Linked DNA regions of Astyanax mexicanus. The protein of the gene in region 2 purifies or fractionates together with the protein of the main gene of each other region. This does not show direct contact. Links are inferred from orthologs where the notes say so. Each region holds a gene or a part of one and is shown on either strand. Other genes may lie near its edges. The genes, in order: dnajb6a and mlf1.

Region 1 (11,770 bases), about 8.3 Mb from region 2:
CACACATAGTGCTGACCTGCATCAAAAGAAGAAAATGTTGGCCCAAATGAGGGAAAACCTCCAAATCCCCCAAAAAACGAGCCACCCGTTCTGCTCCTGCTCATGCCACGCTGTTGGTGCCGCCGCCCACCACCAAAGAAGAAATCATCACTAAATGGACCACCACCTGCACAAAGACACAATAGATTTAATTACAAATCAAATCATGTAAGTCAGCACCTGAATTATATTTGCTATTGCCTTCTTCTTTCAAACTTCAAATATAAAACTGCAAGTGAAGAGCTTTAAATGAACAACCAGTTGTAAATGCAAGTGAGTTTCTGAAATTGTTAGGAGTCCAAAACAGCTGGATAGTTTTCTGCCCCACCCGCTCTTCCACAGATGCAAAGCTCATGTCGGTTGCCAAATTGACACATAATGGCAAACAACAATGTGTTTTACTCTGTAGCTAATCAGTGAAAATATACAGTTGAATGTCTGGTGGTGATAAATATGGTTAGCAATATTACTGAAACTCAGTGATTACCTGTTCAGCAGAAAAATAGACCGCTTGCCCATTTCCATGGCTAATGCTGTCTATACCTGGCAAACCTGAGTGTGGAAATGGGGCTGGAGGAATGGCGGTGGGCAGAATGAGAGGCTAAATTCCAAACAGACTTCCGTGGCGGAATGCACAGTTCAAAAAATAAAATACTGTCTGAAGCTCTGCTGTCCCAAGCTGCCAGTGCTTAAACTCAGCATGTTTCCTGATGAGAATATCTGATGAGACATCCTGATCCTGTTATAAGTTACTGCAGAAAACATAATGCTAAGGTTTCTTTAACTATAAACAGTGATGTGGAAAAGCATGTTTTTTTCTGATAAGTTAAACACAAAACATAAACTGAAATTGTGACTATAGTGCATAAAAACTTCATTTTTACATTTGACTTACCAAAGAAATCAGCAAAGGGATCTTGACCACCAAAGAACTCTCTGAAAACGTCCTCTGGATTGCGGAATGTAAATCCTTCAAAGGGATCACCGTTATGATAATGTCCTCCTATACAGCAGAGAGAAACAGAGAGAAAATGAAACACAAGCATGTCTGCTAGTTCTACTTAATGATAAACATTACAGGAAATCTACAGTATTATTTTACAGCTGAGCCAAGAGAATCAATGCAATGCTGTGCCAGTACAATTGAACCGTTTCAGACCAATATTATAAAAACTAAATACAGAAACACAAGTTTTTTTTTTATGTAATATTGTTATAATCAATTAAAAATATAGTTAACTTAAGATATTAACATACCTCCACTCCTTCCTGATAAGCCTTCTTTACCATACCGATCATAAAGACTTCGCTTATCGGCTGTAGAACAAAAAAGAAAAAGATTAAAAGGCATTTTAAAATGACAAAATGATTTTTTTTTAACAAAAAAAAAAAAAGAAAGAAAAGACATCGCTGTAACACGATGCAACAATATTTGACTCATGCACAGAAAATCAAAGAACTGACACCCACTGTTTAAGACCACCATTAGTTCCCGCTGCTTTAGCTCAGTGCTTACCGTCCCTAGTCCTGGGGACATACCGCAATTCATTTTTTACTATAGTGGTGAGCAGATACACTTCTTTTTAGTTCCAATCCGAGTCTAATAAACAAAAGCAGATACCAATACTAATTCTAATACAAGCGCTTGTCTCATTTTTATATATTCTATTATATTGTTGTGCTTAAGGTCACATCATGAGGGTAGGCTAAAACAGAGCACACAGCATGTACACATTGGCAAACATATATGTAAATACATGTAATCAGTAACTTGTTGCTGAGTATAATATAAAATTGGCTACTTCTCTGTAATCCCTTTATTATTTGGGTCGACTGCTAAAGTTTTTTAGAAAGCGTGATTGAGTGGTTGTCTCAGATGAACTCCCAGAAGATGCTGATTAAATGGGTTAATTAATTGACAGCCGTACCTCCAACCCTCTTTACTGTGGCTTTACTGTATTGATTTTCAGCATTTTCAGACTAAAATATCTCCAAAAAAAAAAAACATTTTACTTAAACCAACAGCTAAGGTACAGTAAACTACTGAACAGGAATCTGGATTGGTGATGTGCCTGTGTTAACTCTAAGGCTCGTAAATGGTCAAGCACAAACTGTGGGCTGGAATCTGGATCAGTAATAAAACGATTGTGTTTATTTTAACCACAATCCCTTAATTATGTCAATATGAGCCCCGAGATTGATCAGTAAAGGGTTGTTAAGGTTGATCTGGTTGGATTTGTTGGACCAGGTGCATTGAAAGCAGGGAAGCACTATAAATGTGTAGAGCAGTGTGCCAAATACTGGTTCTGGTAGCTTAGTGTTTCTCATCCCTGGTCCTGGAGGCAACCTTCCTGCATATTTTATTAGATCAGACACAAGCTCTTTAAGTGTTGCAGTGCTGTATCAGAGCAGTAAACTCACAAAAATGTGCAGGTAAGTACCAAAGATTCTCCTGTAACTTGCAAAATGCAACAACAATTGTAAAACTGCATACACAGCTAATGATTAATAAGGGTTAGTTTAAAACTACAAACTCTCTAACAGTCCATAAATCTTCTTAAAAGCTATGGCATTCGTGTGTATTTTTAAACAAAAAATTATCCATCATAAAACTACATCAAATATTGAAATTTAAGATTGCATGGACAAAAATACCATAACTGAATAAAATGTGTTAGGATTTTTGACCTTGCAAGTATGGTTAGATCAATAAAACTGTGCCCAGTCCTGAACTGAAAAAACCTACAGGCACAGCTGGTCTCCTTTTACATTCATTGATATTAGACATATTGATGCTTCACAATTAACACAATTAACCATATCTTACCATCTGAAAGGACTTCATAAGCTTCAGAGATCTCTTTAAACTTTTTCTCAGCCTCGTCCTTGTTGTCTGGGTTCTTATCTGGATGCCATTTTAGAGCTAGTTTTCTGTACCTACAATTAAACAGAATAAAAAAAACACAATTACAACCAAGCCCAAAAGTTCAGTTCTTAAGTCACTAAAGACAGGAAATACCACAATAATGTTTAGTTTCAGTTTTTTATTCTCTTACTTGTTCTGTTTCTATTATCTGGTAAAAAGACACTTACGCTTTCTTTATGTCTTCTGGAGACGAAGTCTTCTGCACTCCTAAAATCTGGTAATACTCCACCATGGCTTTACACGTACCTTCTGATCAAGCTTTGATGACCTAAAATGAAATACAAACATTTAAATTGATGTGTCTCAATAAAGAAAACAAGGAATGAAGCATACAGTACAGGAAACACCAAAGAAAAACTAAAATGAATTTTAAAAAAGCAAACATCTTCAGAGACATTTAAAATTAATGAAAAAATAAACCTGATAAATAGAACAAGGTGACTAAAAACTAAAATGAGAAGTGGTCATAAATAATTGTTTTTTTCTTAAGCAAACAATCGTTACAACATTATTTTAAAACAGGGAAATTTGAAATTCTGTACATACTGAATTCGGTCAAAATAACAAAAGAAAATGTAGGTAGGCATGGCGAAATAACGTGCCCTTTTTACACACATTCTCAACAATAAGCATGGCTGTCAGCCTCTGGAAATCAAGCATGACAGCATCTGAGAGTGGCGAAGACAAAACTGAAACCTCGTGTGAAGTATTACTCTTTTGCATATACAAGTCAGTTTAAGAGTATTAACTATTCAGAAAGATGTGTCAGATATACAGTGGCATGAAAAAAAGTATTTGCCCCATACAGATTTTTTTCTTTGTTATACTTAGGTTTTTTTTTTGTTTTGTTTTTTAAAGGGGGTAAATGCTTGGTGGGGATACCTGATAATTAAACTCTGTGGAGGAATTTTTGGTCTTGCTTCAGAACCCAAGCATGCCTGAACTTAAGGCAACAAACTATTGCCCGGATAGTCTCCTTCATTTTTTTTATAGAGAGCAGAATTAATGTTTCTATTACAGCAAGTTGTCCAGGTCCTGAAGCAGCAAAGCAGCCCCAAACCATCACACTACCACCACCACACTTGGCTTTGAGTACTTTTTTCTCAACGAGTTGTGTCCCAAATGTAATGGAACACACATCTTCCAAAGAGTTCCACTTTTGTCTTATTAGTCCACATAATATTTTCCCAAATTCCTGAGGATTATCAAGATGCTTGTTGGCAAATGTGAGATGAGCCTTTATATAGCCAATATGCTGTTCATACCTGGTTACTCTGTGTGTTATGAGTATATTATGAGTATTATATCTGGATAAGGCCAAGCCACACAAATCTGACCACTGAAGGAGGTGGTTTGAGATGCATTTAAGCCACATCCATCTCTTCAAGACACACTCAACAACCCTAATTGACTAATAATTGCAGTGTAACAAACTATTTTGCGTAGGCTATCATACACAGCATTCAGATTGGACATGCTTTTGACAACCACGTGTAAACAGGTGGTTAAATCCCTTCAGGGTACAATCTAGACAGGGTCTACGATTTTCAGCACCTCCTAATCTTCAGATGCTGAATCTGTAACATATCTGAGCCATTACCACACACACTCAGTAATTAGAAACAGAAAAGTAATCTCACAGTTTTGAAAAGAAGTCTATGTGCTTGCTGAGTTGGTGAATTTTGTAATTTTAAAACTAGTAATTTCAGTCTAATAACACAGATGTTAGGTCGGACAAAGAAAATGTGTATGACAGTTGCCAAGCCTGGTTAAATGGAGCACTGTTCTGAAAAAAAGAAGTTCTCTCTTTTAGTATGAATATGAACATTAACCCATAATAACGCAGTAATATATCAAGTTATCATTACATTTGTTATTTTGTTTTGCAATACTGTATCAATGGTCAACACAAACACAGTATTGGTGTCTCAAGACAGTGGTTTATTTCGTGTTGTGTTGTCCTTAAACCTGCCCAACTAGATGACAGTGTTGTAGTCTGTTTTTAGATACCACTATTCTGATTGGATAAGAAGCAACTTTTTCTTTTACCCAGATTCTATAAATCCATAAACTAGGAGAGTTTTCCTAAAATTAGATTTAAACAATGATAATATATCATCTTGTTTACAGTAGTACAATACAATCTGAACTATTAAATGAAAACACTAGTTTTCATTAAATTTTCATCCACAACCAGTGCTGTGTTGTGAAACTACTAACTCTGGTTGCTAAATGCCTTATAGTTAATAAAGTATCTAATCTATTTATCTGCCTGTCTGTCTGTTAGCTAGCTACCTAGCTAAGTATCTATCAACACAGCCCTAGCTACAGAGCTCACAGGAGATTCACGGGTGGATGAATTTCTTATTTTATAGCTCTATCCAAACAATAATGCGCTCACAGAATGTGTTTTATGCTTATTTACGAACACACACCCACTGACCACATGTAAAATACACGGAATTACTGTTTAGCTAATTAGCTACAGAGCGAAAACACAGACTGCATCGTTAGTTATGCTATGCTAGTAGGCTAGCTATAATATCATCGCTATGCAGCATTAGCCAGTTAGCGTTAGCTAAGGTAAGCTAGCTAGCTAGCTTCCTTCTCGCCCCACCAAACAGGCGAATTTTTATGTAAACAGCTTTAAAAACGGACCTTCCCGGTATAATGTTCACACCGTGACATACCTTTCTGACTGCCCGCGGCAGGTACAGGCCTCTGCGAGCGGCGCTTCTTTGAGTATATCCTTTTAAACCCGCTTGTTTTTCAGATGTACTTCTTAATACAACGAAACACCGCCTCTACACTGCCTCTGCGCATGCGCGCTGTGTCCGATTATGTAGCTGATTAACCTGCTGCTGGTTTATGGCGCAACGTCCTGTAAGGATCCGGCTGTGTCCCAAATCTCACATTCCTACTTCAAACAACATTCCGGTATGATTGAGAAATGTTTATACACACTTTTATATTGATCATAACCATACTACACTTTTATACTGTACTACAGGCTGTGTTCAGTAAGTACACGCATTACTGAAGTACGTGAAGTGGAGAAGTGTGTGTATTGGGACACATCCTGTACAAAAAGCAAACTGATTGAAATCCTAAGTGAAAATAATTGAGTAAATCTCCTACAAGAAACATACAAACAGTATACGTTATACGTAGCCTTAAAACAAAACTGTGTATCTGCTGAATTTAATTAATATACATAACATAAACAATGTCGTAACTAAAACATGTATGCGCTAAACTATAGTTGCATTAAAAATAATATATTTAAGTAATTATATATATATATATTTAAAATCTGTGGAAATGAGTTCTCTATATGAACTTTTCTTTCATGTATTTACACATTTACACATTTTCACCCTTACATATTTATTTTAATCCTCCTATTTCTGAAACGTTGATGTAAGGGTTTGTAAGTTAAGGTAAAGGGCTCCCTCTGTTGGTTCTGCACAATCCTGCATCATCATATACACACCTATTCATTTCCAAGCCTTAGAGGAATCATATCTCCGATGATAATACGATGAGAATGCATAAGATAATATAATATAACATATAACATAATAACATTGCCATGAGCTTGCTGGCCAGTGTTAAGCCTAACTCACAAGATAACACCTCACAACTTGAGATAACACTTCATGATCAATTTACAAACTGCTATCCCATGACTTTCAGCATGTCAGTGTATACCCAGCCTAATTTTGTCATACTTACTGAAATTCTCATTTTATAAAGAGAGTCCTACACTTTTGAAGGGGCACAAAACCCCTTGATTTTTGCTGACTCCGGCCTCAGCTCAAATTTGAAAATGGGAAAAAAATGGGAGGGGTAGATTGGGCGAGGCACTGGGTGATGTATGGGTTTAGAGGAAGGAGAGCTGATTGGCTAAGTTGCAGTAGCAGCAGTGTGAGACTCAGCTAGTTTGATATCAGCGTGGGGGTGGTATTATTGATGGATTGATCTGCATATTGTGATGTGTCTGCGTACCAAAAATACACAGACACATCATCCTCATCTATAGCACAGTTCAAACTGTGGGGGCAATGCAGAGGCGGAAATGATTACAATGAAAATGTTTTTTAAAGTTTAGGAAATGTTTAAAAAAATAAGCAGGACTGGTATATTTTATTACTTCATAGAAACACAATTCAGATATTAATGGAAAAAATATGGGTTAGGGTTTAGTAGTGGCTCTTTAAAGGACAGTGTAGCCCTACTCTTTAAAATACAGTACAGAAACAGACACATTAAAGGAATACAAAACTCTAGCCACTGACAATGACTGAATGGAATTTGCCGGAAATCAAGATGTTAAAAAACCCATTTAGCGCAAGATTTTAGAGATCTGGTTCAGTTAAAGAAGAGTGGAGGAAACAGGTGCTGCTTTTCTGCTCAAAGGTTCATCTGTGTCTAGTTACGCTGGGTTGTAAAACAGCTCAACAGCAAGTGCTTTGTCCCTGAACACGCTCATGCTTTACACAGTCCAGATGCTGCGGCTGATTCAAGCAGCAGCACAGGTTCAGTCCTTATCACCATGAGAGGTTATTTCTCCACAGGAAACAATAAAGGAAGTCTATTTCTGGGCAAAACAAAGCTTCATTACTATTGTAGCAAACTTCATTTAGCTAGCTGCATTTAAACATAAGATAAGCTTTTTTTTTTGCATTTTACAGTTATACAATATTGTAAACTAGTAATATATTACTATATTGTGTGAAAATAATACAATTTACAAAATTCCAACACTGTAGAACATATAGTGAATTATTATGAATAAATAAAACAGATATTAAATAAAACGAAATAAAACCTTTTTTGCCAATAAATCCGTCTTTACCTTTCAGAAATTTAGCAATATGTGAGTTATTAACAAATTTTAAAATTGTACACTGCACATATAAGGAAATTAAGTTGAAAACTTTTATAAACTTTTTAATGTGACTCAGACAGATATATCCACTTTCACATTAACAAAATGGGGGAAAAATGTGTTTATTCACTTTTATTGTTACTTTTTATTAACCCTCTATGGCATGGATTATATTTTATATTTTGGGAAGAATAAAAATCACACCACTATTTGAGAGATCTTTTTACATAATTGCTTATTTTGATTATTTGAATCCCCTTGTGAAAAGGAACTAAACTTAAGAGCATAAAAAAATGTTCAAATTAGATAAAGAATACTAAAAGTGCATTATCAATATAATATTAAAAAAAAAATACAACATAAAATATACTTTCTCTGTATTTCCATCAAATTTATTTTTTGAGAAATGCTTTAAATCATATCTGGTGTTGATAGAATATATATATGGTGGCATTAAATACTGCTTAAAGTGCACTTTAGTGTATTTTCCCCCCAGTAGCATTAAGGTGTACACAATATGTGCATCAATATCAAGTGTATTAAAAAAAGTGTTTAAAAACACATACTTGAATCTACGTTAGCACTCAGAAGCACAATTTAATGCTTTTGCATTGTGTTTAAATATAGTGTAATTACAATTGAAGTATCTTTAATTTGCCATACATTGTTCTAAAATAGTACATTTAATATGCACTTAAGTACATATTTTAATTTTAAAAAATCATGTACTTTTTCATGTATGTTTAGTATACCTTAAAATATATACTTGAAGACACTTTTATTTTACCACTGCTTTATCATCATAGCTATAAAAAAGGGATCTACATAATGTTTCCCAAAGAAGCAAATGAAAAACCTTGTTTTAGTACAACAAGAATGTAAGAATATAGTATGAATATAAACAGCCAATTACTATTCTTTAAATATCATTGAACATACACATATTTTTATTTATGACCCACTTGTATGTATCATTGTATTGGACGCAGATATGCCGCAGATTTGCCTTAGGGTAACATCATGCCATACAGGGCTAGTTAATATTAGCTTACTAACATGCACATATTTTGTCTGATTCTTGACCAAAAAGTACATATTAAAACACATAAGCGAGTCTATTTGACATTATACAACACAACACATTAATTATTGAGCCATGCAGTTTGTATGATGCTAATCAGTGTACACAATTAGCCATTATCTGGTAGCTAACAACATTAGCCTTATAAAGCCAGTGTAAAATTAGAGAAAGCTAACTTCAGACAACAAAACACAACCAACCAACATTTGAGACAAGTTTGTGTGCACTGTCTATCAGATTCGAACCACATGTTGCTTTAATACATAGAATATACAGCTATAGAACTGCAGATGAAGGAAGCTAGCCTTTGGCTTTCAGCACGTACTGTCGCACAGCTACAGCTGCTTAGGGAAGCCCATCTGTGCTCTTTTTATTTTGTGGTGTTTTGTGGTGTGTTACTCAGCGCTGTGTTTTTATTTAGTGGAAGCTGTTCCTGTGACTGATCATTCGTCCATAAAAACTTAAAAAGAGAGGGAGTCAAAAAGCGTAGACTGCTGCTTCATGTTAACTACACATCCAGGTAGCATGGGCACGTAAAAAAGATGAAAGCAAGGCTAAAGCAGACATAATTAGTTTTTACGAAAACAGACCCAATGTTTATAAAATTGACAAAGTGTTAATGTTTAAAATGTTTAAAACTACAGCATTCAATCTTTAAATTACTCTACACTTGTATTACTAGAGTTGTTCACAGTGCCTCAATTAAATAAAGCACAAAGTCTAAAAACAATACTGAAATTACACATATAAAATGTTTAAATGTAATCACATCCTGTATACTGTATATATACTGTATAATATGTTGCTGAAATACTTCGCTCTTTTAATGGTATAGAAAAAAAAATAAGAGAACACTTAAAAATGACGAGTTTCTTTGATATTACCAAATTGAAAACCTCTGGACTATAATCAAGAGAAATTATTATGAATGGATTATCACAAGCCATCAAACCATGCTGAACTGCTTCAATTCTTGCACCAGGAGTGGCATAAAGTTATCCAAAAGCAGTGTGTAGGACTGGTGGAGGATAACATGCCAAGATGCATGAAAAGATGCACCAAATACTGATTTCTGAACCCATAAATCTTTATGAATTTGAACTTGTTTTTCTTGTTTTCTGCAAATAAATGTTTTAAATGACAATATGTTTATTTGGCATTTGGCAGAAATTTTGTTCATAGTTTATATAATAAAACAACAATGTTCATTTTACTCAAACATATGCCTATAAATAGCAAAATCAGAGAAACTGATTTAGAAACAGAGCTAAATTTAAACCCCTTAATGTAATATGTTTAGATACAAGTCAGTAGACCAATATATTGCATTTCTGAACTGAACTGGTACGTAAGAGGATGCCAGTGGTATATTGCCCACTTCTTGCTTTGTGATTATGGTACTTTTGACTTGGTGCTTAGGCCTTCTGCATGAATAAAAAGGAAAAACACACAGATGTGCAACAGAGAACAAAGCAAGCCAGATGTTCCTGAGAAAAGAGAACTGCAGGGGGAGGACATCAGAAGGTTTTTTCGTGCTTTACTCACATTGGCAATGCAATACAGGAAATAGGAGTCGCTAGTACTTGACTAGCACAGTGCAGTAAGAAGTGTAGCAGCCAGATGAACGTAGCTCAGCATTATAACAATGCTAATTATTATTCGGAGTATGGAGCAATTCTAAAAAGGATGGTTAAGTCAACAAAAAAGGATTTTTTGACTTGGTCAGCAGTGCCACACAGAATGCCCCTTTATGGATCTTCAAGTATCCTTGGGCATCTCTAACTGTCATTTTAGGCATCTCCAAGTTTCTTCAACTATCCTTTTGGGGATCTCTATGTGTCCATTTGAGCATTTTCAGGTATCCACTTATGCTGTAATAAGAAATGACATTTAATGTGGGGCTCCTGTAAGATGTGCAGGTTGGTGTGTTTTTTGGGGTGCTACCTGCCAATATGTGATTCTTCAAGTATCTTTTTGGGATTTTTTAAGTGTCATTTTGGACATATCCAAGTATTCCTTTTTGCATGTCTGTTCAGGAATCTCCACGTGTGAATTTTGACATCGCCAAGTGCTTAAATTCTCCTTTTGAGTGTTTCAAAGCATCTTTTTGATCATGTCCAAATGTAAATTTTGGGGGCTTCCATTTGTCCTTTTGGGCATCCCCAGGTGCTCTGAATTTCCCTTAGTAGATTACCGTGTGTCCTTTTGGTAATCTCCAAGTGTCCTTTTAAGCGTCTGCAAGTGTCCTTTTTGGCATCTCCAAGTGTACTTTTGGTCGTCTCCAAGTGTCATTTCTGGCATATCTCAGTGTCATTTTTGTGCATCTCCAAGTGTCCTTTTGGGAATCTCCAAATGTCATTTTGGACATATCCAGGGTCATTTTGGGCACCTCCAAGTGTCATTTCTGGTATCTCTCTTTGTGCTTTTGGGCATCTCCAAGTGTCATTTTTGGCATCTCCAAGTGTCATTTTTGGCATCTCCAACTGTTATTTTGGGCATCTCCAAGTGTCATTTTTGGCATCTCAAAGTGTAATTTTGGGCATCTCCAAGTATCATTTTGGGCATCTCCAAATGTCATTTTGGGCATCTCCAAGTGTCATTTTGGGAATCTTTAGGGTCCTTTTGGAGATTTCCAAGTGTTATTTTTGGCATCACCAAGTATCCTTTTGGGCATCTCCAAATGTCATTTTGGGCATCTCCAGCTTCCTTTCGGAGATCTCCAAGTGTCATTTTGGGCATCTCCAGGGTCCTTTTGGAGATTTCCAAGTGTTATTTTTGGCATCACCAAGTATCCTTTTGGGCATCTCCAAATGTCATTTTGGGCATCTCCAGC
Region 2 (11,489 bases):
GTCTCCAACTTCCAAACTTAAGGAACTCATAAGCCCAACTAATGTGGGAATCACTCAAATCCCTGCTTTCACGCTGACACCCAAATCACTCTTATGCATTACGCTGTCGTATGTGCTTATGATACAGCGCCGTTTAGCCTCTCCCTCGCTCCTCTCTTTCCAAATCGAATCAAAACCCAGCGAGCGCCTCATATTAAGCCAGCTCAGACAATTAGAGACCAGCACTGGCACGCATTAAGAAAACAATACAAAACATTTGTTTTAATGGGTTACACTGACTTCGGATCTGTGCGGTCTATGATACCATTAAGCGGAGCTCGGCCAAATCCAGACCCTAAGTAGATTACAAGTGATGTCAATGTTAGGAGGAGCACATGTAGGGAATTTAAATTTCGAGTCCATCACTGTACTTTGAATATGAATAGACAGTCTGAACTCAAGCCAGGCTTAGTGAATAAGCCTAATGAAGCATTCGCCGTTTGCTATAAGACAGACAGACTAACTTTATTTCCTGCCATAGAGGAAATTAGTTTTTCATTTCTCCATTTGTATATGCAAAACACACAGACACAAAAAATAATGAGTGTAATATGCACATTAATAACATACAGAATCATCTGTTGAGCAGGTCATCAATCCAGCAGCAACCAGCAGCTTGCAAGGAGACAGTTCCTACTTATAATATGTTTAAACATTAGTTGATAAAGAGCCACATAAAGAGTTAATAAATGTTAAGAAAGAGGCATTATACACTGATACGTCAAAATGTCATAGGAAAGGAATTAGTAACATGATCGATGACCGTTGCTACTATATGTCCCATGGTCCCAAGCTAAATACCGCTGCGTTGACCTGTTCGATTGAAATGTGTGCGGGACCTTCTGCTTTGAGTGTGGTTGTTATTTTTTTAAGCATTGACACTTCTAGCCAGACACAGCCAGTCACAATACATCATAGAAGGCATTACTTCCACCCACAGTGGACAGCACAGTGGATGGTAGTAATGCCTTCTATGATGTATTCCCAGTACACATGTGACATCGTCAGCTTGTAATGAGCACACTGGCCATGACAGATTTTACACCTCACTCACAAGATAACACCTCACAGCTTATACAGGTGTGGGCATTCAAGCCAACCCAAGCTGTCTTCTAAAGAAGCACTGCATGATCACTTTGCATACTGCTATCCCATGACTATTGGTAATATTAATGTAATGTCAATGTATACACCTTGTTTTTTTAGTGTATTGGGTTCAAAAACATCACTACCCACTGATCACTTTACTAGAATTTAAAGTTTTAATATTTTTACACATCAGTTTTTACATAAATTTGCTTAAAAATATTATTTTTAAATGCACTGTATGTCCAAATGACCTTCTACAGATTTTACAGCTGCATAATATTTTAAACACTCCGTAAAATCCACAATCACAGTAGCCTGATCTGAGCAGCCTCAAAACTATTAGTCTTTTGCAGAAAGAAATGCCTGAAAATCACTCAGTCTTGCTTATTATATTATATATTTTTGTTTGTCGCTAACTTTAACTTTCGTAAACCAGGTAATCTATTATTTTTGTTAATTTACACCAACAAATATTCTCAACATGATGCCCAAAATGTAATATTTCTCTGTATTAGAATACGAACAAAACAGCTCTAGTGAGCCATCTTGTGGTTGTTTTGTCGGTCTGCAGAGCCTTTTGGATTATCAAGAAAACACTGAACAGTCTCTGAGGTGTCTCCTCTCATGTTAAGTAAAATTATAAGATATATAAAATTTACATATCAGACTATCCAATCTTTTTCATGCAGCAGACCATTTGGTGGAAATGGGAAAAAATGAAACATTACTAAACCAAAAACCTGGCATTACTGTAAATCATACAATTAAAAGAATCAAACTAGTTAGTAACTGTAGCAAGTGAAAATACCATCTTTTTAAAGTGCTTTTTACTAACATTTTAATACTGTGGTTTGATCCACTGGACTGCAACTCTCCTAGTAGTTTATCATCATTATTAATGTCATAATCCATAGCTATAATAATAATAGTCATGTTCAAAATATGAATTTCATTGGAAAAATTAATTTCTACATTTAAAATGACAAATTAATTTGATCTGAAGTTAGACAGTGTAATGTAATATGCAGTTTTAAATTTGAACTTAACCAGAACATTAAATATTCTATAAACATATCATGTGAAATTATAGTTAAATGAACAATTTCTGCAACTGCTTAACTTGATTTATACACAGATTTACTAGTATAAATCAGTTCTGTTTAAAGGAGTGAAGCTCAGACAGAACTGATTCCACATCACCTGAGAGAAGAGAGATAAAGCTGAAGAATCAAACTGTTCACTGACCCTGTGATTCTCTTGCAGTTGTTCATAGACAAAGAAGAAGCAGAGAAGCTGTGGCTGAATCGACTGCTGTCTCTGCGTCAGGAGAGGCTGATGGGGAGTCCAGTTTCCTGACCACACCTTTCTAACCAGCATCTCGGACACATTCAACTTATTTTTTTTATACTCAGTAGACCCACATGCCTGTTGGAAATAGAAGAATAATTTGAAGGCTTTTTAAACTTTAGATTTTTTATTTTTGGATGTATAGTATAGTTGCAGCGACAGTATGTCAAACTAATGCTGCAAAATTATAGGAATCTGAAAGAATGTGACAACCACTGGAATGTGACTTTTAAAGTGAGGTGTTTTCAGTAAATTCTGATCAATGTAACAGATCAAAATATTATGACCCCATCTTTTTTTTTTTTTTTTTTATACTCATTGTCCATTTGATCGGCTCCACTGAGCATATAGGAGCATTGTGTAATTCTATAATAACAGACTCAGGACCACAGAGGACCACCACACCACACACTTCTGAGGTTTTTTAATTCTCCACCCTTACTAGTACAACACACACACTAACACATCACCATCATGCCACTGTGTGTCACTGCAGTGCTGAGAATAACCCACCACCCAAATAATAGCTGCTCTGTGTGGGTTTATCATGTGGGGTCCTGATAATTGAAAAAGAGGGTGAAAGGAGGATAATAATAAAGTATGCAAAGAAACCATGTCTACAGGCTGTATTTATTATAGTATTACTACATTTAAATTATCTGTATTACTACAAAGTGAAAAAAAAAAAAAACGGAAAATGAGTGTGGAAACAAGCAGATGATCATAATACTGTGATATGACGATGTATTCACATTTGTATTAATGTTTTGATGATTGATTAAAGGCAAAAAAAAGATCCACTTCACTGGGTTCTTGTTTTCTGTTGTTGTTGTTGTTGTTGTTATTATTATTACATGTTGATTTTTGTTGTTCTGTTTATTAAAATCTCATTACCTTACATTGTGATCAAATTCAAAACCAAATTATGTTTCAAATGGTGCAAAACTTTTATGATTTATAATTAATGTCACTTTACAGCCTAATGAATAGTGGCCCAACAGGAGAACCATATGTAAGTGAACACCTACATGTATTTTCCCTCATTTTATGCTATTAATGCTGTATTCCACAGCATTGTTGTGTTGTTTTATTGTTTTGAGTTTACTTTCTACAAAAATTAAATAAAATTGCTGTTTTAATGGTGTAATAATGTTTATACACTGTTTGTTTTTCTGTTTTCTGGAAGTCCTGTGTGATTAACTCTCAGGTCAGGGTCAGGGTAAAATCACAGAAGCCATTGAGATCAACGGGCTTCATGGTCAGCAGTGGAGACAGCAGTAGGCCTTGTGTAGGCCTTGGTCTGATGTCCAGCCTTGAGATCTATTTTCAGACAGTGTAGATGGACCTTCTGCAGCTCGGCTCTATTTGCGGAAATGTCCTGCTCCTGCCCTGGACATGTTGAGGTAAAGTCTATAAAGAAATTAGGTGTTAAGATTGTTAATGGCTGTTCTACAGAGGTCATGGTTGCTGCTAGGTGTGTGTATGTGTACGTGTGTGTGTGTACTTGCATGTGTGCTAGCTAACATATGGATTCCTATACATTATGTGTGTGTGCTCCTCTGCATGTTTACTAGATTATGTGTGATTGTATATTTACACAAGTGTACCCCCTATCAGTGTATGTGTGCCCACAAGCAGATGGTCAATCTTACAGCAGGCTGGCAGATGCCAGGGTGTCCAATAGCAGCAGCTCCCACTCCTGCCTGCTGGATGTTCTTACAGGCATCCTTCACACTTCCTTAAGTAGATATGATGACAACAGGACCTCTTCCACTGTTCATTTGGACAGTGTCTAAAATCAGCCCTAATTCTTCTTACAATAAGTGAAAAAAGTGGTCATTAAGTCAATTGGTAAGTTATCATTTACATTTTTATTGATTTAAATGTTCATTATATTTTGTACATTACATAATTATTTATAAACACAGAATATGTTTAGTACAATACAAAGAGGGCAAATAAATGCAGTTAGAATATACCAGAACTACACATAGTGCTGATGGAGTTTAAAAAATCCTCAGTGTCACTGCTGATCTGAGAATAGTGTGGACAACAACCTGTGAATTTACATCTACAAGGTAGCGCAGTTATAGGTAGGTGTGTCTAATTGCACAGATAGTGAGTGACACAGAGGTGTTTAAGAACTCCAGTAGCACTGTTGTGTCTGATACACTTGTAACCACACAACACACAATACTACCACATCAATACTATGCCACTGTGTGTCACTCCAGTGCTGTTGTGAATGAATAATAGCTGCTCTGTGGTGGTCTCTCCTGTGGGGTCCTGATTATAGAAAATCAGGATAAAATAAGGATGATAATAAAAATAATAAAGTAGATAAAGAAAAACAGATACAGGACAACAGTAATTATTGTAATTATGCTGTACAGTTACAAAGTGCTCCTATATGCTTAGTGGAGCTGAAAAATGGATAATGGGTTTAGGAACAAGGTCAAACTGTTATGCTTGATCGAAGTATGTATCAGTACTTATAATACTTATCAATACTTTATATGGACAAAAGTATTGGGACATTTGGTTGCATTAAACAAAAGGAGTATTGATAAGGACAGTTTGTTTGATAATGTACTCTTATCTTGTTTTTTTGTAGCGTTCTAGTGTTCTAGTATTAAGTACATCTACAGAGCTTTTTCACCACCTTCCTAAAATAATTATCATTTGCAAAATTGAATTTTTTGCCTGTGGTAAAATAGTTTATGCCCTCAGCTGTTTAGATCATTTGTTTTAACCCCTTTAGGATAATGGCCTATGTCAAGAGTGTGACTTAAGCTAATTCATTATGCCTAAGTCAGAATAAAATCTGACTCATTTTAATAGCTTTCCAAGATGACTACCTACCATCTATCTATATACCTATCTCTCTATCCATCTATTTATCTACCTGTCTACCATACATCTGTATACCTATCTGCCTATTCATATATTTAACTTTAGTTAAGTAATTTCCATGATTCAGGGCTTGTCCCAAATTGGTGATGAGATTTTTATTATAATGTAGTTTACGTCTCGTTAATAAAGGCTATAGGCCATACATATTGCATAGTTTAGTTTTTTATCATTATTATTGAGATGTTTAGTCTGCATTAGTCCATAGCCCATAAAGCTTTTATATACATTTACAAATATGTATTTTTACATAACCAAAAGTATATTTCTGGTTGCTTCTGCATTATTATACTGTTTTTATATACTTTAACTTAAAAACCATTACCACTTTTTTAATAGCCATAATAACTGTAATATGTTGGTGTTTCCTGAAATACGGTGAATATTTTAGTATTGTGTCGATATATAAAGGCAGAATATGTTTAAAATATATTGTTAATATAAAAGCTAACAAATGCTTATTTTTCAGTGTACAGTATGTGTTGTGTTAGTAAATGGGTGGGCAGACTTTAATCAGAACACGACTGGTTAGCATGATAATAATAATACGTTTATTTTAGCTCTATTTGCGTATATAAGTATTTAGACAGAAATTTCCAGACTTTTCTTTTTCTAGAAACCGCTTCTGTCTAGGACACGCGCTCCCATGATATCTGCGGGGGGCGGGGGGGGACACCTGTGCCAGCCAATCAGGAGCGCCAAAGCGGGTCACGTGGTTTTCTCAGCGGGCACGCGAGCGCTCTAATGTGTTTTAAGTTACGATGGAAACGGCATTAGAGCCTCTGCTGGAGAGAAGGACGAGTTAAGTTACTGCAGGACTAACTGGACTCAGGCACTGTCACTGTCTGATTTTACCTCATTAAACTGAATTAACCAGTTTATTTAGGCTCTACTGAACCTGTGGAAATGTTCAACAGCCTTCTCAGGGATTTTGACGAGGACCCTTTCTTCTCGTAAGTCTCTCAGTGTAACTGTCAGGTTTATTTTTGTGTCTGTCAGCTATCTCTCTCAGGCTCCCGTTATTAAAGTAACCTAGCTAACTAGATAAATGCTAAGCGAACTAGCTTAAATGTCTTACTACTATCTAACGTTAAATTAGCCAACTAACTGGTTTTGTCAAACATTTAACGCCAATTTAGGTTAGTTAACAAGTGTACGCTAGAGTTGGCTTAATTTCTCTGCTGTATAACCTAACTAAGTGAACTAAACTTTCTGTGCGTTATTTTAACTTTCTTTAAACATAAACTTGCGTTGTTGGCGTTCAAAAGTTACCTCAAACGGTGTGTCATTTAGCTAGCTAGGCCTCTTTTTTCAAGAATGTATTATCTAACTAACTTAATTAAACGTTAGCTAGTTTACTTGTAGCTAGATGTTTTTTTTTAGCATAAAGTATCAGATAACTAAAACAAATGTTTACCTGTTCCTTGGTATTCTGACCTTAAAGCTCTGAAAATAAGAGACCACTTAAAATTATGAGTTTCTTTGATTTTTACCCAATTAAAAACCTCTGGAATATAAACAAGAGGAAAATGGATGATCACAAGCCATCAAACCAAACTGAACTGCTTGAATTTTTGCACGAGGAGTGGCGTAAAGTTATCCAAAAGCAGTGTGTAAGACTGGTGGAGGAGAACTTGCCAAGATGCATAACGCCAGGGTTATTTTCCCAAGTGTTGGTTTCTGAAGTGTAAAATTGACTTGGGTTGTAGTGAAACATGATAATAAGTACAAACTTTAATCCAATAGCCCATCTCTGTTCATCCCCAGCATTCCAAAATACAGCTCTTTTAGCCGATGCTCCCAGCTGGCTAGTGGGACATAGCCATTGCAAAGAAATAACTATTTTTACACAATTAACAAGTTTAAAGTAGCTTCACACTTTTAAGGAGAATTCTGAGGGCCCTGAGAACTTTAAATGTGCAAAGTTTATTTAAAAAGACTGTTTATACACACAGTACCTTCAGGTAGTTCTCCAGACACTACCATCCTAAAATTTAAGTCATGGTGCATCCCCAGTTAAAATGTTACCATATAGTACTAATCGAAAGTTGACGTTTTTCTTTATTAAATGTATTTACTCATTGTAGAATAAATTACCCGCAGCAAAACAATTAAGGGACACATTTGGAATTATTTTAAACTTTTGATTCCTACCATATAGGGCTGCAGCTATCGATTATTTTAGTAATCGAGTACTCTACTGAAAAATCAATTCGATTAATCGAGTAATCGGATAAAACATATTTGTTTGCTTAAAGAGTAATTAAAAAACACAAGAAAAAAACAAGACATTTAACTTAATAATGAATGACCAATTGATTTCCTTTTTTAGATAAGTTATATTTTTAAATTTACAACATACATTTCCAAACGGCAAACACAAATAGAAATAAAGGGATAATAATAATTTAATTAATCAATAAAAAAGGCATAAACATTTGCATTATGTTGTGCATCTTAGCCTCTGAACAGCAGAGATGTTGCCAGTTCGTCTCACCAAGCCGGTGACTTGTATTAGTATAAAACTCCACAGCGCTGTATTCACTTACATAAAGCCTGTATTAAGTCCAAAATTGTCTGTTTGTTTTTTTAACTAACCGCACATTAGACAGTATTCCTAATAATCAGCGCTCCACAGCGCTGTCGTTATGTTATTAAGGTACATACATGTTAATCTCACTGATTAATTATAGGTTATATTAACATTCTATTGGCTCCACTGCTAACGTGTCCTCGGCTAAGACGGTGCAGCATTAAAAACGTGCTGTTGTGGGAAGCAGAGCGAATACACGCTGTCCAGCTTAAAAAAGCTGCATTATTATTGTCCTTTTTCCTCGTAAGTTGTTGCTCTGTCCCCCTGCAGCTTCAAAATACCCTCTTCTTAACTAAATCCACCGCTGCCTGCTCCTCCTTCCTGCGCGCGGGTGACGTAACTCTGAGCGCGCTGTCACATTAAAAGCACGAATTACCGCGCGCTGAGTTCAATTAAATAAACGATTACTCGAGGCACAGAAAATCACTCGATCATTTTTTTAAATCGAGTAACTCGAATAACTCGAGGAATCGTTTCACCCTTACTACCATACATCCTTCATATCCCCAGCATTGTGGTTCTGAACACGACAGAAAGGAGAGGCTTATAATCTCTGATTATACCTTTGCAGTTTTAGTTATATGATTATATGATATATTGCTTAAATACATGGTAGTTTGAGGTGACTTATCGCCCAGCAGTGTGAATGCTGGGTTAAACCCAACTGAGATGAGTGATTTGGGATGAGCTGGAGCTTCACATCATAGCGTGAGGGAAAAGCAGCAACTATTGTTCAGCACCTCCAGGAACTCCAAGATACTGAGAACTATTTCAACCTCATAAAGCCAATGAGAAAATACCAAGAGTGTGCAAATCTGTCCTTAAAGCTAAATGTGGCTAAAATACAAAACATGCTCAGTATGAAATTTACAATTTAAAAAAAAATAATAATTTTTGAATGAGAAAAGGTGTGTCCAAATTTGTGACTGGTGCTGTATATTCAGAAGTATCCACCGCTTGTTATTGTTGGTTACTGTAACTTAGTAAACATTAAGTTGTAGCCATAGCCAACACCGGTGTTTAGTTGCACACATACAGCTTGTGTCTTTCTAAAGCAACCAAACTTGATCCTAAGACAGCCTTGCCATCCCCCCCATAGATTGGCACAAATCTCACTGGACTGTGTAACAGTGGAACTCTCTGGAGTTCTTAATCACCACAGTTCAGTTCCTTTGGATTGATTTAAATTGGAACTTGTGATCCAGAGCTAGCCGATGGGTTAAATTAATCAATAAATAAATCAATAAATAGGACAGCTCTTTATTAATACTGTAATTTCAGTAGAACACAGGCATCTACAAACCTTTCTTTGGACCTGTGAGTCTGACCTGACACACCACAATGGCTGTATTATTTATGTACTTGTAATTGTCAGATTTTGCACCTATATGCAAAGTAACTTTGGCCTGCTACTGAGTGGAGAGGGCTATTTAGAGTGTTGGTGTGTGTGTTGCTTTAATGGTGGCTTTGTATGTTTGGCAGCGCTTTAGTCATCAGAGATAAATAGCCTACTTGTTGATCAAACTGTTGTGGTAAATAAAAATTGGGCTGCGAAGTGAAACCAAGATAGAGATGAATAAGCAGATAGGTATATAGATTGTTAGTAGATAGGTGTGGGTATATTAATAAATGGATAGACAGATGGTTATATAGATAGGTATAGGTAGGTAAATAGATGGATAGATAGATGTGTATATAAATAGGTATAGGTGAGTGAATAGATGGATAGACAAAGGGGTATATAGGTAAATGGGTTTAGGTAATTAAATAGATGGATAGACAGATGGTATATAGATAGATGGTAGATAGGTATAGGTTGGTAAATAGATGAACAGTTGGGTAGATATATTTGACATTGAGCTATAAAAGTATGTATAAATGCATGATAAAGTGCCAGTATAAAAGCATAAGAATAAACAGTGTAAGCTCATTGGAAATAACAGGCAGCGTGAAGCCTCAGTAAAATTGGTTAATTATCCCGTATGTTGATTCACTTGCTCAAAACCTGCTTTTCCTTTCCTCTTTCTCTCTCTTTCCTATTCTTTTAGCTCAAACAGGTAGGCTTTCCTTTATTCCTTCTTGTCAATCTCCTATACTTAATTCATCATGAACAAAGGTCTGATTGGCGTTTTCTGGTCTCTCTCTCTGTCTGATAGTGATCCATTCCAGGCCCACAATGAGCACATACGACAAATGATGAGGAGCTTCTCGGATCCCTTTGGCCACAGCTTTATGCCCAGTATCACAGATGGACGGGACAGGGGACGAAGGCGAGAGTCCCATCCTGGCAACAGCGTAGCCATCCATAATGACCACAGAGTAAGTACTGAAAACTAAGCTAACATGGGAATTCCATCAATTTTCAAATGATTGTATAATTAAATCATTTAGATGGCTATTGTTCACTCCACCAGTCCATACAATTATAAATATATAAATATATAAATATTTGTGGACAATAGATTTCAAAAACAACCCATTTAAAAAAAGTCTAATTTTAAAGTCTGGAGAACCAGGTATTTAGCATCTTTCTACCTGTTTAGCTTACCACAGTTTAGTGCCACACAATAAAATCACAGTTTAAATCAGGAGGTTTTTTGTTTTTTAAAGCTCTGAGTGATTTCTGTTAGTAAAGTTTAAAGTAGCAAGAAATTAATTACAACCATATTTGGATCGTAAAATAATAGAAAGCGCAAAAAAAATGTAATATGGGCCAATTTTAATATATTTAGCAACTCAAGTTCTTTACAGGGCTATTGATGGGAACCAAGGGACGTAATGCGTGCAACACAAATATAGCCATTTAGTTTGCATTTTAAAATGCTCAGTTAATCCTCACCTGTCTTCGGAGTTTGATATGTAATGTTAATCATGGTGGAACAGTGACAGAATTCATTTTATAGTCAATAATTTTATATTAATGTGTCCAAGTCATCTAGCTATCTATGTCTTCAGTCTCAGGGGGATTTATTTGGCCGTGTGTATTTTCATGAAACAGAACCTGGCTTTGACATTGTTAGCCTATCAAAACACGTTGACCCCTACAGCGTTTGTACACTTGGCTCACCCTCTAAACAGACTGTTTTAGTCTGTATACTTGCAATTCCCATAGTTAGGACATTGAATCCAATACCTTAGTCCAGTTCTTCAGCTTATGCTGACCCACATAGTCTCTGTCCTCTTGGCCGGTGAGTAAAATGACCTGAACATGTGTTCAACGTCCAGCATCGTCTCCTTTCAGCACACAACAGTAGTTAAAATAACATCAATAAAAGTCCAGCAAAGGGAGTGTACTGAGTTCATGATGGGGAAACTGCCATGCTTGTGTAAACCAGGGCAGCTCTTTACTGGCAACATAGTTCCAGGCATATTGAACACTGGGGAGAGAGAAGAGGGGTGAAGAGAAGGGCTGATGAAGGAGAAGTCCCTATCACCCCTCAAGGAGCTATGTTTAGCCCTAAGGGTATTTTTAGAGGGCTGGACAGCATTGTTCCACTGACACACTGCTTTC

Evidence for each region.
Region 1: the proteins of mlf1 (region 2) and dnajb6a purify together in Homo sapiens (affinity purification with mass spectrometry; 3 studies listed by BioGRID and IntAct, counting the BioPlex papers as one, with this or other methods). This does not show direct contact. The link is inferred for Astyanax mexicanus from reciprocal best matches to the Homo sapiens genes MLF1 and DNAJB6.

Annotation. Positions count from the first base shown.
Region 1 is NC_064411.1:34,552,316-34,564,085, forward strand, and holds the start of dnajb6a (dnaJ homolog subfamily B member 6a), read right to left. Parts: upstream 5,807-11,770; 5' UTR 5,656-5,806; intron 3,234-5,655; 5' UTR 3,198-3,233; coding exon 3,133-3,197; intron 2,977-3,132; coding exon 2,867-2,976; intron 1,357-2,866; coding exon 1,297-1,356; intron 1,043-1,296; coding exon 935-1,042; intron 167-934; coding exon 17-166; intron 1-16. UniProt on the Homo sapiens protein: Has a stimulatory effect on the ATPase activity of HSP70 in a dose-dependent and time-dependent manner and hence acts as a co-chaperone of HSP70. Plays an indispensable role in the organization of KRT8/KRT18 filaments.
Region 2 is NC_064411.1:42,831,102-42,842,590, reverse strand, and holds the start of mlf1 (myeloid leukemia factor 1), read left to right. Parts: upstream 1-6,143; 5' UTR 6,144-6,291; coding exon 6,292-6,338; intron 6,339-10,134; coding exon 10,135-10,297; intron 10,298-11,489. Other genes in the region: rsrc1 (serine/Arginine-related protein 53), read left to right, coding at 2,392-2,484. UniProt on the Homo sapiens protein: Involved in lineage commitment of primary hemopoietic progenitors by restricting erythroid formation and enhancing myeloid formation.